Linked DNA regions of Drosophila melanogaster. The protein of the gene in region 1 interacts with the protein of each later gene in a biochemical or structural test. Each region holds a gene or a part of one and is shown on either strand. Other genes may lie near its edges.

Region 1 (4,974 bases):
TTTCGTCTTTAATAATTTTGCGTGTTAATTGATTTTTCATGGGGCCACGCATCCGTCGTCGTCTTCGTAGTCTGGGGGCCTCATAAAAATAGCATCATCGGGGGCATCGAGACATCGGAACATTGAGGTTTCCTCTCTAACAGCGGCACAGCATCACGTCCTGGCCCGCTGGCCACATAGACAGATGCTGCATATCATTTCGTTGACAGAAGTCATGCAGGAAGGGGAATCACCTCGAACGTTGCCACCGACTGACTGGCTGACTGACTGACTGACTGACTGTCGCACTAGCTTCCTTTGAAGCGTCTGCTCCTCTTTACTTCCTCGCCCCTTTGAACACACACTTTGCAGCCAACTTTCGCCCGATTACGTTTCAATTTCGTTCGAGTTTTATCATAAACACATTGGACACTGACGACTGATGCGACTAGTCGTTTATTTGTTATTTCTCTTGGCAACTGCTTCACTTCACTGTAATTGGAAATAGATTTATGGGCATTACGCATTTGCTTTCCTTTTTATTTAAATTTTCACTGGTATTTATATGGCACGTTTTATGCATTTATAATTGGTCAGTTGGGTAAATGACATCTACTAGATTTGAACATTAGGTATTTATTAATAATATAATGGAAAATGATTATCACTACTCCATTAAAACTTTATAATAATTTTTCAATCCAGTTATTTAATGAATTCATTCGCTGACTCGGCCATGTTTATTTTCATTGATTTTATGCTCAATTTGATTTTATATTCCTCGGTTATTATATACAGCTTCCACTTGAGTCATTCATTTGCTATTTTAATTGCCATAGATTTTAAGCCAAACAAATCTCAAATAAATTCAAGTACCCGGGACCCCGATGCTTTGGGGTTACTTATGAAGCTACGTATGTATACCATTGATTAGCGTATCTACAGATACTTTATGGAGACTTAATTGAGTTGCTGCCGCAGCAAGCTGAGGCACGACTATGCTCCTCCACTTCAGTGGAAATTGCTGCACAGTTGAGTAAAATTTATTGTATTTTTTCGGTGGTGACGGAGTGGGGGGATCACCCATAAAAAGTGGCCTTAAGTGGCCGGACAGCTTAAGCTCTTTCCCAGCAATACGAGGGATTTGGTCTTATATGAAGTGGAATTTCTAGTTCAAAATTTTGCAACACCAGTCAAAGTTCATGGGCCTTGTTTCGGTACGGTAGCCGAGAAGTGTTCATAGGCCCAAAATAGGCACTCTTTCAAGTTTAGAATGCAAATCGAGAGGGACTTGTAATTTCGAAGGGAGACGTCCCCAGAGGAAAAGTCAACTTCGGGCGACGCCGAAACGTCAACAACTGTGACTGGAAAATGAATTATTTACGCCGGGGGTATCTAAAAATACTGCGCCAGACTCTGTTATGTTTATGCATTTATTTCCCAAGGCAAACTGCAGCACGAAACTGCGGCAGGTTCGACATCATGAGGTCAATTGCACAGATACTGCCTCCAGGAATATCAGTCGTGGTGTCTTGCATTCTCGTTAAGTTCGCTCTGCTAATTCAGCTTGTTAATTTTTATATGCACCGCCCAAGTTCTTGTCGTTCCGAATACTTTTATAGCCCGTCGCAGCAGTCAAAATACAATTTGAAACGCCTTGCCGCTGCAGACGACACCGAAACCGAAAAAATAAAGTGACAATCGCCAGGGTGCATTTTATGACAGACGCGTGTTCCCTCTTTCCGACCAAACTTTTTCTCCCCATTAACATAAAAATTAATAAATGTATCTACCGGATAGTCGGAATCTGCCAGCTGCCGCTACAAGCACTTTGGGAAAGTTCTTTCATACTAGTTTATATTTTTTATGGCAATTAAAAATTGGTGGCACACAAGCTTTTGTGAAAACAAAAGGCCAACAAAATACCGCTCTTACCGAATCTAAAAATTGATTTGATAAGCCATGAAAACGGCGTTTTCATTTGGAAAATTGGTAGGCGTCGCTACCCACGCCGATTTGTACGCTTTCCTAACTCAACAAGAGACCTCCAAGGTGTGCGGACTTTTCCTACTCCATCTCAGTTGCAGTCGTTGATTTAGTCACACTCTTTTCGGGCACTCTGATTTATGATCGCCGAGTACTGCGATTGATGAATGGAGTTGTGCTCTGGTGCGATTTCAGCACCATATGTCACAAATATGAATTTTATTGGTGCATATATCCACGGGCGGAGTCAAATGGGTACAGTTTAAATTTTGGGCAATCTTTTAGCAAAAGGAAAATTTTAAATAATTTTAAACTTTTTTCTTATGGGATTGGGTATATTTAGTTATTATTCAACTTTTTTTTGATACTTGAATGATTCTTGAATGTCATTTTCAAGATTATTAATTTGAATTAAATTTAATTCAAATATTTTTTTAGTTGGCACACAGTTTCTGTTTTTCACATTGGGTTTTCGGCAATTATTTTTATTTTCCCAATTTTGATTCATTCATTTTCTCGACTTTCTGTCCGCGATTTCAGCACCTCATTTTTCACACTCTGTATGCCTTAAAATTAAATGATTTATATTTTGCCTAGCTGCTTCTGCACACAGTTTTCGTTTACTTCCGTTGAGATCACTGACTTTGTTTGACTTAGCCCTTTGGCAATTTTCACAGAATCATCAGAATGGGCGGTATTCACGGTCAATTTGCAAAGTTCTGTATCTTTTCGTATTTTAAGATTTATCTACCAAACGCACAACAACAAACGCTTTCATTCACAATGAGTTTTCAGCCGGAATTCTTGACAGAACAGTGCCGACCGTAAAAATGGGGAGGAAAGCCAGAAACTTAAAAATAAATTAAGTTTCTATTTCTTACACATATCCACTGGCCCACTCACGTTTGGAAAAACTCTGAAGGGGCGTGCGGTCAGAGTTTTCGGCGTTTTCCGATTGCCGCCACCCGCGCCAAGAACCAACCGAATTTCCCGCTTTCCGATAAGCAAACGAACCGAACACGCCGACGATTTCTCACAGACTGAGCCGAGAGGAAAGAAAATTCCGCACGCAGTAGTGCGCTCGCTCGAAGTGCCCAATGAGCCCCGGACCAGACCCCATGGTTCCCGTTCCCTGAAAGGCCGCCGATGCCTCCGATGTCGATTTGGTGCCACCACTCCATGGCGCACCCGCGAGTGACTTTTGTGCGCTCTGCGAACGCGCGAACGCAAACGCGAACGCGGCCCAATATGTATCTCTATCTAGATAGCAGTGATGAGCTGCCCGCTCGCGCAGCCAAGGGATGCGAAAGGGATACGTCTGGGAATCAACTGGCTGATCGGAATGAATCATCAACATTAAGGACTTTATAAAAAACTCATTTAAGGATGTTATCTTAGAGAAGACACCATTGTAAGTGTACGTTTTAGTCAGAGACACCACTTAAAGTTTCAGTATGTAGTAAGCATGGCTTTCACAATTATTTGCATTTCTTCAGCAGAAAACGAATTTGCATTGTCGTCATGATAAAATAGTAAACTTTTTACTACTACACAATTGGCCCTGGAATAAGATAAGATATAAGAGGTACTCACTTACTCATAACCAATATAATTTTTTCCAGGACTATACACAATTTAAAACTTACTCTCTATATGGTTCTGTGTGTCATTTATTCTTGGTACTACAAGTGAATCATTGCTGGTAAAGTGAACACCACGCACAATTTTTGGCATCATTAATTCTATACTATATGATTCTCTGAAAAACCATTCACCCGTTTTCCAAATTTGAAAGACTCTGTGCTCATCACTGATACACCGCTGATGACACTCTGTTGTTCGGCTGCTCATTTTCATTGCTGGTTGCTCTCCCCGTTTTCCCCCCTTTTCCTTTTCATTTTCATTTTCCTGTGCAGCACGCGAAAATACGCGGATTGAGCAATTGCGAGCGCCAAGAGGCTGAGGACTTGAAATTTTTCAATTTGTTTAGCGGTGCTTGGACGCTGCTCTCTGATGATCTTCATCTTCATTGTGGATAGCAGGGGTCCCATACATGGTAAAAAATGTCCAATTATTGTATAAATTGTCGAAGAAAGTTTAGGGAAATGATGTACTTAACCAAATATTAAATCATAGTTATTCTTCCAAGGTTTTCACACAATAAAAATATTGTATTGCTTATAAAAGACTAGATATAAGTCCAATTATGACAGTGATTTTTCTTTCGGTGCACCCACACATGTGGCTTCAATTTGGCTGGGCCATCGTCTTTGCCTTCGACTCTGCCACATGTTGTTTGCCTTTCTCTGGATGTCTCTGGATGCCGAGTGATAAAAATCTCTACCATTTTTCATCAGCCTATTAAGTTACATAAGTCACACGGTCCCTGCTTGTTGTTATGCCCACCGTCTGCCCTGTTGTGTAAATATCCTTTTGGCGTGCTAATGAACCCTTTGACACCAGGAACCAGCAAACGGCGACCCGCACCCAGCGATCATTCGACCTCCCTGACGGCTCTCAAAAATTCCTACTGACAGCAGATGCCACATAAATCAGGCGCTGCGAATGAAGAATTCGCCGTGGTCAGCTCATTAATAAATTAAGTGCATAAAATCACACAAAATCACCTAGGGAAACTCCTAAACCAGCTAGTGCACCGAAAAAAGTCAATCGTTTTGACGAAAGATTAACTTTTTGAATCGGTCTTAATAAGATATGATTTGTCAAATTAAAATAATTACGTTGAAAGCATAAGTGGTAGTGGCTCCTTAATTGTGGGCTCTATTTTGATTTTAAGCTGATTTCAAAATAATTTACACTGTTTGATTTGGGGTATATCGAATTTTTCCCAGTGTGCCTTCTATTATTCGCCCCCTTTTAGGGCTGAGCAGAGCAACTGCAGCGCGAAAGGAAACCCTTAGGGGCTGTTCCTGATAACGGCGACAGCAACGACTCCATATCACGCACAATTTGTGTTCGGGAAAATTGTTCCGGAGGAGTGCCGGCGAG
Region 2 (5,581 bases), on another chromosome or scaffold:
TAATATAGATAGATTTGTATTAGACGTGGAAGGTTTCTCCTTACGCTTCCAATAAATTTTCCCCACATGTTTTGTGCCGGCTAAGATAGCTTATCGCACCAAACTCACGTTTTTAATATTTTTGTTTATTGATAAGAATTTAAAATTGTAGTGAAGAAGGTTTATAAAACGGTTTCACTGCACTTCTCATAATTCCCCCACCTATAACAACGCACTTTTGCATAACTAACCGATGCAGCAGGAGGTTTGCACACTGCCGAGCAACTTTGCTAACTACTATTTTCATTTGTTTCCAGGTCATGCCTGCCGTGGTTATTCGGCAGCGCAAACCGTTCAGGAGGAGGGACGGGGTGTTTATATACTTTGAGGACAATGCCGGGGTAATAGTAAACAACAAGGGCGAAATGAAGGGCTCGGCCATCACTGGACCGGTGGCCAAGGAATGCGCCGATCTGTGGCCCCGTATTGCATCCAATGCAAGCTCTATAGCCTAAGGAGTTTCCTTTTCAATAAACCCACAACGGAAAACAGATTGTTTTGAATTCGAATTGTTGGTTCTTTTATTGAATTGCTGCACTGCTTCGCTACCGGAGGAGGAGAATGAGGATCGTCTCTAGGCCTTGGGTGCCTCCGTACGTAGAGTGGGCTTGGGTCGTGTCACTTCCATCGATACCTTGCCGTTGGCTCCCTTGAACAAGGCGTAGCACACCTGGAACGGAAGACCCTCCAAGGCATCGCCATTGAATTTGGTGATAATATCGCCGCGCTGCAGTTTGCTGTCTATCTCCGGGTATTGTCCTTGAATCTGTCGAGAAAGTAGTTACTTAGGGTTGAGCCTTCCTACCACTGTATACCAGTGGTGTATGTGCACTCACCAAGTCCGCGATGGTACATCCAATTTCGTTGGGAGAAAGCGACAGGCCCAGCTCCTTGCCTGCTTTTTTCATAAGGTCAACGTTAAACTTTTCCAGCTCCGGAGGATCAGCGCGGAAGACCGTTAGGGTGACCGCTTTCTCGTATGTGGTGTGGAATAACTGATGGACCTTCAGTGTCGTCATGGATCCCACGTGGATTGGCGTACCATTTATATCGCAAATGTGGTCAAAGATCTTGAGGCGCTTGTCGGCTGCCACTTGTCCCTCCGGATAAACGTGGGTGATTACACAGCCAGTCTGTCAGGGAAAAGTTGTTTAAGGTACTTCTTGCAGAAACAGAAAGTTCAGATAGCCCACCGTGACATGGTTGTTCTTGCCGCCGCAGACGATGACGCCCATTGGCTTCTTTTCCACCTTCAACTCAATGAGTATCTTTTTGTTCGGCTTGATCTCGGCTGTGGCGGGTTCCTGTGGCTTTTCCTCCTCTTTCTTGGCCTCTGTGAGTTATCGGGATGAAGATGTCAGTTTTGAACTTGCTTGGACGCAATACCTACCCTCCTTCTTTTTCTCTTCCGCCGCCTTCTCAGCCTTTATCGCCTCCTCGCTCTTGAGAGTCAATAGAATCATGGTCACTACGCCCTCGGCACGTTTAAGCAGTCCAGTAGCCTGAAGTGGATATGAAATGGTTTTAAACTAAGTGGTTGGAGGGCTTCCTGACGACTCACATCATCGTAGTTGGATTCCAGTGTTACATCCTGATTAACGGCCAGCAGCATGTCGCCCACTTTCACGCCCGCCAACTCGGCATTCGATCCCTCTCTCAGATCCGAGATGAAAATGCCACTTCCCACCTCAGCGTGCTTGCCATAGATGACCATGATGCCCAGGAAACCCTCCTTGCGCACCTGCACCGTGCGCGCCTTGGGAAACTGGTCGAAGATAAACTTAGTCTGGAATAGAAGGGAAGGACATTTTATCGCAGGATCCATCCGAAAAGAAGTGAAAAGTACGGACCTCATCAGACGCGGTGGGGAACTTCTTGATGGGCTTGACGCACATGCCCTCATCGTTGGGCTTGCGTCGCGAGGTGATCATCACGAGCTTATCCCCATCCACGTTCTTGAACACGGCGGAAGCGTTCAAGTGGCAGCGATTCTTCAGCACATTGCCGTTGACCTCGACGATCTCGTCGCCCGGTTTGATGTCCACGCTACCCAATGCTCCGTTGGGATCCACACCGGCAACAAAGCAGGCCATCTTCTGGCGGTCCTTGTGGCCAGCGAGTGCGAGTCCCAGTGGCTTGCTGGCGTCCCTCTGGACCTCGATCCTGCGCAGATCCTTCATCATGTTGTACCGCTTGTTGATCTTAGCTGGGAATGGCATTCACGTGCTGTGTGACTGACATTTTTTAATGGCTTCAATTGAGTCTTACCCATCGTGTAGCCAAATTCATCTTCCTGCTCCTTGTCGCGATCCTTTTCCTGCTTGTTGAGTTTGCAATTACCGGCGGATGCTCGATCGATCTAAGGTACTTATAAGTTAGTAGAGCGATGGGTGGCGACCTTGGGTTAACCCACCTCATAACCCGCCTCCGTGCGAATGCGACCGGTCATGTCCCGGGTGTCCTCGTCATCCTCGTCGGCGTAGTTACTATGCTTCTGACGCATCGAGGCCGTGAATGTGGTATTCCGCTTCTGCATCGATTGCTGCCGGTTCATGCCAGCCATTCCCTGACCCTGACCCTGACCTTGCCCCATTCCCTGACCTCCGGACGCATTGTTGTTGGTGGTCTGCTCCTGGTTGAACTTGTTCTTGGCCTGCATGTAGCCATTGCTCCGCGGATCTGACTTGGCCTGCTGCTCATCGCTCTTGTCGAAGGTCTGAATCTCCAGTTCGATCTTGAAGTCCGCCTCCTTGATGAGATCGATGACCGCCTGTTCGGTGGAGTTGCGCACATCCTTTCCGTTGAGCGAGAGGATCCGATCGCCAACCTTTAGGCGACCACACAGATGCGCGGGACTGTCGGGCACAATGCCCTTGATGAAGATGCCGGTGGTCTTGGTGTTGGGCGAATCCTTCACCTCGCCGCGCACTATGCAGATGCCGAAGGACTTCTTGCCCGTCTTGTCCAGGGTCACCATGTGAATGAGCTCTGGGAAAGGATTGTGCATTCCAAATGAAATAAAAACTATTTACAACGTATTGTTAAAGTACGACTAAGACAAATGTGAAGCTATTACTAATAAATATTTATTGGGGTCCTTATCCCACTTGGTATCCTTTCGCAAAATAATTTTCACCAATATTGTATAATCGTTTATATAAATGTTAAGGTTAAGTTCATTACATAAACATATTTCTCACAGGATTCTTAAGAATCAATAAAGTCAATTGAATTGGCTTTTGTTCAAATTTTGTTTTATTTGATTCATAAAACACAAAACGAGTATTGAGTGACCTTTGGAAGGTCAAGTTCTTTCGGGACTAGCTGCAAATTTGATTAGCAGTTGGTCATGAAACCACTCAATGGACACTGACCACCCGCGGTGCCCTGTTTGCCCAGGAACTGAACCATCCTCGCTGCTTGAGATCGACTGCTCCGTAATCCTAGCCAAAAACTCGCGACTCACTGACCGGACATTAAGCGCACCGAATTAAGCTCAAATGTAATATCGAATATTTATTGTTATGGGTTTTCACTTAATTATTATTTGTGAATATTCCGCGTTGGCTGCGCCCGATTTGAGTCCATTGAAAAGTGCGCCTAAACTGATTTTACAATTAGCGGGCGAACATTCTTGCTAACTGACTTAGTGGCCATTCTATTTTGAGTATGATTTTCGTATCGATTACACTGGTCAGCAGGGTTGATCTTAGAGTACCAGATGCATGTAGTTCATACATATATGCTAAGACACTTTCACAAACTTTCCTTCTAAAGAATGCTTGAGTAAAAGAAAAATTCTACTAATAATAATGAAAATGTTTCGTATCTTGAGATTACCCATTAAAATATTACCTTGCAGTACAGTGCTATCGATTCGGAGGAGGTGCCTCCAATGAATTGAGTAACTTTCACTGTCTGTTATGACACCACTCACAAAACACCCAGCTCCCCGAAGACGGCCATTATATGGGTTACCATCGCGGATGTGAAGGCTAGGGGAAAATGGATACCCATGTACCTTTATTGGCCCTATCAAGTTATTAATTTGTTGGTACGATTTGGCCCGTGCTGAACTCAACACTCCGCCAGGAGAAGCCCACCAAGTGTTGACCAGCAATGCCCATCGATTTTATATTTTTCTTTCATTGCACTTACAACTGAATAACATATGTCTCACACACTTTTACCTGGGCGAGAGCTTCTATATCGGCACTGCAAATAACAACAATTTGTGGGGGACATTTTTAAAACATATAATATCCTTAATAAAAAAACAATAATAAAATGCGCACAAAATACCGAAGAATAAAGAGTAAATAAATATAAAATGTAAGGTGACAATGATATGATATTGAATATGAACTGTATATATTCAGTATCAATAATATAGCCCCAAAAAGTAGGCAACAATTTCAATGCGAATTGGTAAGGATTGCTGGGGAACTTCTGAACCAGACACAAGCGGTAATCAAATAAAACTTTCAAGATTTTTATCTTTCGAGTGGCAAATAAATTTAATTTGTCTGCCGAGCTTAAATTCATAATCAAGATTTGCATTTTAATGCCTTTGTCGGGGGGAAAGGCGGTATGAAAAAAGGAAACTGGAGGCAGGGAAGGGAGAATATGACTATGCAAACATTTCCCGAACATTGCCCGAACGGAATGAAACGAAAGTGGAATGGCTAAGGCAGCTCCAAAGGAAAACTAGAGTAAACACATGCTCAAAGGAGCTGGGCGCAAAATGGGGTTTAAACTGGAAAATGGCGAACCCAACGGAGAGTGGGAGTGAGAGCGATGGGAGTGGAACGTCAACGACTGCGAAACGATGCTGGAAATTAATTTCATAATAAAAAAGCGTAAGGAAACCCATTTGATAAAACAATTTCCTTTTTGCCTCCCAACAGTCATGTTTTGTTAGTAAAGTAAATTCAAAAGAGAGCACAGCGAAAATATGGCAATGAGCTTAACGCTGCCGCCCCCTTTTCCACCTCTTCCCCCAGCCCCGCCCCGCTCTCTCCTCGTCCCTTGCAGCCTCTGCCGCTGCCGACGTCGCTGTTCGCAAGACCTCGCCCTCCGATTGGCTCTCTGGCCGCAGGCCACGCCCCTGCAATGGCTGCTTTGTGCCGTGTCCTTTTCGGCTGTTCCGCTCTCTGTTTCTCTCTCTCCTTCTCTCTCTCTCTCTCTCTGTCCGCTCCTGCAGAAGTCGTGCTGCTGCGGCGCAGTCGGCGCATGGTTGTTGCGGGGATTTAGTTAACTGAAGTGATTTTCCACTGTTGGCTGTCACACAGGCAAACACACTCACACACATACACCCACTCGTCCTTATGTAAGTGGCCACACGTGTCTGTGTGTGTGTGTGTGTGTGTGTGTGTGCAGGCGAATCCGTTGTTGACTTGTTCTCGTGTTGTACTTACATGCAGTTATATCAAATTGCTAATAATCGTTTAGCAGGCACTTCAGACTGCGTCCTGGAAATGAATAAAAATTACAGTTTTCTGCGCCAAAACACTTGAGGCAACGATTCGGATTTGGAATAATA

The links. Proteins that work in one complex are often made in the same cells at the same time.
Region 2: the proteins of kon (region 1) and inaD form a complex in vitro, tested with the Drosophila melanogaster proteins (one study listed by BioGRID).

The regions. Positions count from the first base shown.
Region 1 is NT_033779.5:18,500,967-18,505,940, forward strand, and holds the start of kon (kon-tiki), read right to left. Parts: upstream 3,013-4,974; 5' UTR 2,847-3,012; intron 472-2,846; 5' UTR 1-471.
Region 2 is NT_033778.4:22,855,149-22,860,729, forward strand, and holds inaD (inactivation no afterpotential D), read right to left. Parts: upstream 3,647-5,581; 5' UTR 3,451-3,646; coding exon 3,414-3,450; intron 3,064-3,413; coding exon 2,453-3,063; intron 2,399-2,452; coding exon 2,308-2,398; intron 2,246-2,307; coding exon 1,890-2,245; intron 1,826-1,889; coding exon 1,601-1,825; intron 1,542-1,600; coding exon 1,430-1,541; intron 1,373-1,429; coding exon 1,233-1,372; intron 1,173-1,232; coding exon 876-1,172; intron 806-875; coding exon 614-805; 3' UTR 540-613; downstream 1-539. Other genes in the region: RpL23 (ribosomal protein L23), read left to right, coding at 297-494. UniProt on the Drosophila melanogaster protein: Involved in the negative feedback regulation of the light-activated signaling cascade in photoreceptors through a calcium-mediated process.